Linked DNA regions of Cricetulus griseus. The protein of the gene in region 1 purifies or fractionates together with the protein of each later gene. This does not show direct contact. Links are inferred from orthologs where the notes say so. Each region holds a gene or a part of one and is shown on either strand. Other genes may lie near its edges.

Region 1 (4,108 bases):
GATGTGTGGCACATATGTGGGTTCAGAGAACAACAATTTTTGGGACCTGGTCTGAATGAAAGCAAGTAAGGTGTGGTGATGCATGCCTATAATTCCAGCTTTAAAGACAGAAAAAGAAATGCCAAAAGTACCAGGGGGAGAGGGGTCGACACCTTCCCACAAGTGACATAAATCAAGGTGAAAAACTGAGCAAAGATGTGGGAATAAAGAATGCAGAGGGCCAGGCAGTTGTGGGGCATGCCTTTAATCCTCTTGAGGCAGAGACAGATGGATCTCTGTGAGTTTGATGCCAGCCTGGTATTCAGAGTGAGTTATAGGACAGGCTCCAAAGCTACAGAGAAACCCTGTCTTAACAGAGGGCTGGGAGTGTAGCTCACTGTAGAGCAGTTACCTAACACAAGAAAGACCCAGATTCTTTGGCCCAGGGAGAGCTTCAAGCATTCACTGTACAAACAAGGATCCGTGTTCATCCCTGCATCTATGTCAAAGAGGTTGGTGCACTAGTTATCTCAGGTGGAGGCGAATACATGAGGATCTGCAGGACTCTGGTGGTCAACTAGTCCACCTACTCAATGAGCTCAACAAAACAAGACCTTCCTGAAGAGAGGGTGGATGATGCTTCCAAGGAAGACAGCCAAAGATGTCCCCTGGCACCACACTCATGTGCTCACATACATGAAAACGAGTTTACAAACAGACACATGTTAAAATGTAGGGGCTCCAGGGGTGGCCCCGCATTTAAGAGCACTGGTTGCTCTTTCAGAGAACCCAAGTTTGGCTCCCAACACCCACATTGCAGTTTATAGCCATCTGTAATTTCATTTCCAGGGGATCTGATCTTTTCTGACTCCCACAGGCTTCTGTACACACAAAAATTTGGAAATCAAATGTCTTTCCTCTTTAAAGCTCCTTGAGCCCTCATTTTTTTGGAAAAAAAAAAAGCTATATCCCCACATACTGGTTTTGATAAGCAGAGCAAGCATGTTATTACATAACATCTAAGATTTGTCAAGTAAGACTTTGAGAGTGACCACAAATTATTTTTTCTTAGAATAAGAGGTTCTCCAATCTTGCACAGGACCCACTTACACCAACATAACTGTTTTTTTTAAATTCTGCTATATCTACCAACTCTACATACCACTGCCCAGCACTCTAAAATAACTTATAAAAAGAATATGGGGATGAGTGTTGGTGGTATACACCTTTAATCCCAGCACTCGGGAGGCAGAGGCAGGTGGATCTCTGTGAGTTCGAGGCCAGCCTAGTCTCCAGAGCGAGTGCCAGGACAGGCTCCAAAGCTACACAGAGAAACCCTGTCTCAACCCCCACCAAAATATGGGGGTTGAGAGAGGGCTCTCAAGCAGGATCCAAGGTACTCAAGCAGTTAAGACCATTTGCTGTGATTTGATTTCTGTTTCCTGTACCCACACTGGGCTGCTCAAAACCTTTCTCTCCAGATCCAGGTAACCTGACACCTTCTTTTTGGCCTCTGGACATATGTGGCACATATTTGTATACTTGGACAGACACACGCTAAGTAAGTTTCAAAAATTTAAAGGCTGAGCACATTGGTGAACACCTTTAACCCCAGCACTTAAGAGGCAGATTTATTCCTGTAAGTTTGGAGTCAGGCAAGCCTTTGTAACGAGACCATAAAAAAAAAAAAGGGGGGGGGAGACAGACAAGCCACAGAATCAAAACAAACAGATAAATTAGAACTTAGAATTTACACTCGGACTCGCAGTTCTTTCGCTGGAATTTTCCATAATATCACCATTAAAAATAAATTCTCATTCCCATTCATAAGCAACTCATTTTTTTTCCTTGACTTGGAGTGTGCAAACAGAACTTCTACCGCCCTTTTAATCTGCAGAGATACAGAAATTTAGGTTAATCATTGCTCCCATATACATATTATATACAAACATATTTGTTTCCTTTGCTCCTCTTTCTTTTTGGGGGGGCAAATTTCAATCAGCGTATTGGTCTCTCAGAATTTGGGCCCAGCCGGGCGTTGGTGGCGCACGCCTTTAATCCCAGCACTCGGGAGGCAGAGGCAGGAGGATTTCTGTGAGTTCGAGGCCAGCCTGGTCTCCAAAGAGAGTGCCAGGATAGGCTCCAAAGCCACACAGAGAAACCCTGTCTCGAAAAAAAAAAAAAAAAAAAAAAAAGAATTTGGGCCCAGGGCAATTTAAGATTCATTCCATCAAGAACACCCAAGTACCTGCTTCCGGTATCTGTTTACAAGGTGTCCTTTGTACTTACGAGAGCAAGCTATATATACCGAAGCTTCTCCTGCCCTCCACGAGCGAGGAAACAGCCAGGAAAAGCGCATAGTGCTGGGAGCAGCTATTGAGCTTCATGTGCCCGTCCCTGAGCACCCTATTTTTCGCTCGTGCAAATGTCTTGGAATCCTGAAGAATGGAGCACAGAAAAGCCCACTTCCAACAGGAGGCAAACAGGCCATAGACCTGAGGGAAGCGAACCCGCAGGGGTGCATTTCAGCAACCTCCTTCGGGTTCCGGGGCTCCCACGCAGTCTCGGGCCCGCTCTGAATATCCAGGCCTCTCTCTCCACACCCCGCGGCTCTCGCGGGCCCTAACTACCCCACTTGCGAATCGCTGTCCTCCAAATCACTCGCCTGCTCTTGGTCCAGATGTTCCAGAGCGGCCGGGGTCGCTTGCATGGCGGTCGCTGTGTCGGCTGAAGTCGCGGGAGAGGCAGACGATGACCCCTCCATGATTCTTCGCCTCGTGTAGACCACGGGAGCTAGGAATAACTGCGCACGCGCGGGCCCGAGGCCCGGAACCGGAAGGCAGAGGGTAGGATCTGGCCGGAGACCTCGTGCGTCATTTCCGGGAGGGCGCGGAATTCGAGTCCAGAGCTTTCCTGCCGAGTAGTTGGTGGTGAGGCACCGGCAATGGCCAGAGTCATCGCTAAGCCGCCACCTGTCCTTGCGTCCGGCTCTTTCTAAGTCTATAGGCCTCGCAAGCCCTGTCTCTCCTCCACGGAGGACAGCGGGAGAGCGTCCTGAGGAGAGACTAGAACCCTGTCCTCAACCCGGTGCGGTCGGTCCTCTGAAGAGCGGGAAGCCGTGGCTCCTCCACCCTGTCGTGGCTTCAGGTGTGGCTTTCCCCAAATTGGGGGTGTTCCAATGAAATAATAAGGAACCGCCAATGACAGGCGCGTGAAGCTGCGTGAGAAACGAAAAGATAAGTTGGTTTCCCAGGATCGTCGGCTCAGGTAAGCCCCTAGACTACCAATAAGTGTAAAGGCGGGATAACGCGTGGGGGAAAACTCCAGAATGTCTCTTTCCTGCTTCTCTCCCTTCTGCAGAGCACACCACCTCCTAGAACTTTCCAAAACTGTTAGAAGCATACTTTATTTTCCCCCTCTTTAAGAATAGGTACAATTAAGTTTTCTATTTAAAGTAAGAGTAGTTGCCGGTGCCTTCGAGGTTGTTCTCAATCAGTACCATGGTACCGTGCTTTTTAATTTTATTTTGATTTGGTTTTTGAGACCCGGTCTCTGTTATGGAGTTCTAAATACCCTGGAACTCTTTTCTGTAGACCAGGCTGGCCTCGAACTTACAGACATCCTCTTGCCTTGGCCTCCCCTGGTGCTGAGGTCAAAGGTGTGCACTAACATGCTCCGCTTTCTTTTAGTCAAGATCTTGCTAATATTTAGCCCAGGTTGTCCTGAAACTTGAGGAACCCCTCTTCTGCGTCCCAGATGCTAGGATTACAAGAGTGAGTGAGTTCCCCACACCACCTTGAACCATTACTGCTACATAGTTTACTTAGGAGCTGTTGGGTAGATATTAAGGATAGTGACAGGCTTTTCGCAGCTAGGTATGTGAATTTTTGGGAGATTCCAAGAAATGGGAGTAGAATGTTCTCTATTGTCAATTGTTTACCAAAAGTGCTTCTTCTATGAAAGAATAATGTCCTTCTCCTAGTGTCTAATAAGGATCTTGTCTTAAGCAACTTGTAGAAGACATTGAAAAAAGTCATTGGAACCTACTTCTACTAATCTATTTTAGAATCTAGAATAAGATAGACTTTGAGCATATTGCAGTGAATTGTTACATTGGGCTTGAGTTATC
Region 2 (4,294 bases), on another chromosome or scaffold:
CCACTGAACTATTCCTCAGTCCTTGCTATACTCCTAATTCGATTTGTACTTTCCCAAGGTTCTATGGCAATAACATCCCAAAGAAAACATATCCTTTCTTTCCAAAGCCTATTTATCCTCAGTAATGCTAACACCATAACCCACAAAGTTGATCAAGCAAGCTCTGTATGTGTTTGGAGCAAATCTCCTCATCTCTGTGGTCCATAAAATGTGGACACAAATCTGTCTGTATATATAATAGAGTTACTGTGAAGATCAATTAAAGAAAACGCAATTTAAGCACTTAAAATGCAGATGTGGGGAGGTTTGCAAGAGATGGCATAGTGGTTAAGAACACTCATTGCTCATGAGGACTCAGGTTCAGTTTCTAGCACTGACGGCAAAGATCATAACCTTGGCTGGAGAGATGGCTCAGTGGTTAAGAGCACTGAAGGTTCTTCCAGAGGACCTGGGTTCAAGGCCCAGCATCCACATGGCAGCTCACAACTGCCTGTAACTCCAAGATCTGACAAGCTCACACAGACAAACATGCTGGCAAAACACCAATGCAAATAAAATAAAAATAAACAAATTATTAAAAAAAACAAGAACGCCAGGCATTGGTTGGTGTCGAATGCCTTTAACCCCAGTACTCGGGAGGCAGAGGCAGGTGGATCTCTGTAAGTTAGAGGCCAGCTCTGGACTACAGAGCGAGTTCCAGGACAGCCTCCAAAACAATACAGAGAAACCCTGTCTCGAAAAACCAAAACCAAAAAAAGACAAACCTCACAACCTCCTATCACTCTAGTTCTAGGGGATCCAATGCATTTTTTGACCTTTGTGGGCATGTGAAATACATGCATACATTCAGACACACATACATATATAAACTAAAAAATTTCTCAAAACAAAACAAAAACAGCTGCACAACACATGGCCATGTTATTCTTTACCAATTGGTCACTAAATCCTACCGATTTGGTCTTTGAAATGGCTCTCACCCTCATTTAGTGTTTTCCACACTTGCCATTAGAATATGAGGAGTTTAAAACATGATCTAGAAGTCATCTATGCTTTACAGACGTCTGTTTGTCACCTGTTCATAACATTGACATGGTTTGTGAAAGTAATTTCTAAGGTTGCAACATCATAAATATTTAAATATTGTTAAATGGGTGTGGTGACACACAACTTTAATTCTAGCACTCAGGAGGCAGAGGTGGGCAGATGATTGAGTTTCAGTACACCAGAGTTTCACAAAGAAACCCTGTGTGAAAGCACTCCCCCAATGGTCTTGGAACAAAGAATAAAAAAAGAAAAAGTGAAACAATGCCAGTTACTTTATGTACATTGTTCTAAATCTTGACAATCCTACTGAAAGGTTATGTAACTTAGTCAAAGCTAGCTAGGTAAGCAAACATTGATGTTTGACTTTTCCACTGCCTGCCTTTTAGTAGAAGCTTTTACGATCTGTCACTATTCATATCATATTCTGATTCAGGAATTCTTAATCTGAAGTCTATGATGTTTCAGGCAAGTTTCAAGAAATCCTAGGAACCCATGAGACGGTTATAAGATAAATTTAAAAGAAAAGGTAAAACTATGCTTGTACAAATACAAAAATGAATATGGCAAAATTAAGTGCTACATATCCATTTAAAGGAGCAAAGACCAGATCAATATGCAGTAGAAAGTTGAAATGAATGTTAACAGACACTGGTCAGGGAAGTAATTAATTACATCCTCCTGGGGCAAACATGATTTCCCTTTTCTTGCTCTTCTAAAAGTTAAAAAGTTGTAACATTGTTTAAAAACAGTCAATGCGATAGGTAATCTGGAGGCAAACTCTACTAGATACAAACATTTGTTTTTTTCAATTTCAAAGTAGCTTTTTTTGCTTGTTAAAATCATACGCAAAATGGGTACATGCAAAATTTCCAAAGAAACTTGGCCATGACATTTTTCAGGTTATGAACAAAAAGAAGTGTACCCAAAAGATTGAGAACCAAAGTTACAGTCATGGCAAGACTATTCAAAGGTAGCAAAACCACAGTGGCCTGGATCACTGCTCCGAATGAACCTTGTAAATATGCTTTGGAAAACCATCCGATTTCCCACTACGGCCCGGCTTCGAAGGACTACTAAATGTAGTAGTATTCTTGAGGAATTCCAGTCTCGGTGAACTGTCCACTCAGATTTCCCCTTAGCTCCTCATAAACGCACTCAGAACTTACATTCACCGCTTATTGTTAGCTCCTCCTTTAAAACGCATTTCCTAGAGGAGGCTAAAGGTCTTGCAAAAGAAAAGACTGAATTTTAGGATGCAAGTCCTCACTACCGCTGTCCTGGGGAAGCCGAAGCTCTACCGCAACCTGCCCAGCTAGCTAGCGGCCGCAGCTCCACGCAGCAACTGGACTTCCGCACCGACCACCCCCCCACCCCACGCTCCAGAAGCCGGGCGTGCCCCGAACCTGCCGACACTAAGCTCGGCCCGCCCCCTCCGTGCGAACACTGGAACTGCAAGCGCCGCCGGAGGACTGCGCGTGCGCACGGAGAGGCCAAACCAACGGACTGGTGGCGAGGGGGGCGGGGTGGGCCGGACCACAGATGACCGGAGGAGCCCGGACTCAGGAGTTTACGCTTCTCCGGGTCTGCGCGGCCCCACAGGCCATTTGTGACTTACTCTGGTCACGTCCCCAAATCCACGCTCAGCGGCTGCCTTCTTCCACGCTTTCTGTCTCCCGATCCTTCGAGTCGGCGTAAATTTGCGTCATCCGGCGAGCGACGCGCCTCTCTCAGCCCACTGTGGAAGGGTCCGTCCGAGCTGCGGCTCCCGTCGCTGACGTCACGGGCGACGCCTCCCGGGGGCGGGGTCTGGGAGGGAGCAAGGCGGTGGCCGCCCTCCGAGGAGGAATTCCATTGGTGGTTTGCGAACGGCGGCGGCGGCGTCCCTGCTTGATGACGTCACGCCAGTTCGCGGGAGAAATTCGAAAGTGGAATGTGTGTCCCTGAGGAGGTGAAGTGACGGCTTTCTGAAAGGGAGTGAAGGTGGTGGATGGGCCGGGCGACTTGGCACGGTCGGGAGAGCACGGACTCGGACTCGCCTCCACGGAAGCGGCCCACGGGGCGCCGTTAGGATGCCGGGTGAGGCGGTCGCCGTCGAGCCCCAGCCTGGTCGTGGTTGGTTTGGGGGCTGGCAAAGGACCAAGGCTCCTCTGTTATTTAGGGACACCAAGCTCGGCAAGAGAAAGTAATGTTTTTCTCTTAGTTATTTGTACTGGGGGTTTCTTGACCGGATGGTCGCGGTTCGGGCGGCGCTGGGGCGCGAACCTAGGACTTGGTGCTAGCGAGGCGAATGCTCTTGTCACTGAGCTACTGCAGCGGCTTCTCTCATAAAGCAAGGCTATGGCAGGCTTCCCGCTGTCTTCACGGAAAGCTCTCCCTGCTCTCAGCCGAACAGAAGGAAGGTTGCACACACACACACACATCCGATTACTGACGGCTCCCGCCTTATGGCTCACCTCGCCCTCTGGCGCTCCTCCTGTGCCGCGCTGCTTAGGGATCAGGCCTCGGCGCACACTGTTTCCGGTTTGTGAGTCACCATCACTGAAGGGGGCTTGTGAGCCGTTTGTTGAGCTCCAGAACCGGAGCTTTCTAACTTAATAGATGAAGAATAGGACCTAAAATGTGCATGACTGACTAATTCTCGTGTAATGATCAGGTCATGTCCACGGAACCTCTTGAACATATGTGTACTCTTTTGTGTGCTTCTTCGGCACCTATATTCAGTTCGTCATCGAGGGTTTCAGATAACAGGATAGTTCAAGTGGCTGCTGCAACACTGTTCAAAAGATTTTTCTTCCTGGGTGTGGTGGCACATTGCCTGTAATATCCCAGAGTACCAGAGGCCAAGACAGGAGGATTGTGCAACTTGGCCAAATCCTGTTTCAAACAAAAGGACTGGGCATGTGGAAGCATTGTTACTTAGCTTACACAGGGCCCTGTTGTTAGCCCCTAGAGCTGGAGAAAGAAAGAAAAGGAGGTTTCCTTGCAGAGGTACTAAATAATGTGTATTTGGTCCTTTGGTGTTGTGTTACATTGACCAAGGTATGTAGTCAGCCCTCTAACTAGATTCAGCCAGCTGTAGACTGGAAATACTCAAGATTGTCAGTAGTGAACATGCCGTTTTTTTGTTAGAATCCCCAACCCCCCTTTCTTTCTTTCCTTTTTAGACAAGGTCTCTCTAATCTATGCAGTCCTAGCTGTCTATTCAGACCAGGCTACCAGGCTGGCCTTCAGCTCCACCTTTAACCCA

What was found. Proteins that work in one complex are often made in the same cells at the same time.
Region 2: the proteins of Rsl1d1 (region 1) and Larp7 purify together in Homo sapiens (affinity purification with mass spectrometry; 3 studies listed by BioGRID and IntAct, with this or other methods). This does not show direct contact. The link is inferred for Cricetulus griseus from reciprocal best matches to the Homo sapiens genes RSL1D1 and LARP7.

What each region holds. Positions count from the first base shown.
Region 1 is NC_048600.1:35,513,523-35,517,630, reverse strand, and holds the start of Rsl1d1 (ribosomal L1 domain-containing protein 1), read right to left. Parts: upstream 2,801-4,108; 5' UTR 2,744-2,800; coding exon 2,645-2,743; intron 1,871-2,644; coding exon 1,734-1,870; intron 1-1,733. UniProt on the Homo sapiens protein: Regulates cellular senescence through inhibition of PTEN translation. Acts as a pro-apoptotic regulator in response to DNA damage.
Region 2 is NW_023276806.1:31,269,396-31,273,689, reverse strand, and holds the start of Larp7 (la-related protein 7), read right to left. Parts: upstream 2,801-4,294; 5' UTR 2,663-2,800; intron 2,399-2,662; exon of another isoform or gene 2,214-2,398; intron 1-2,213. UniProt on the Homo sapiens protein: RNA-binding protein that specifically binds distinct small nuclear RNA (snRNAs) and regulates their processing and function.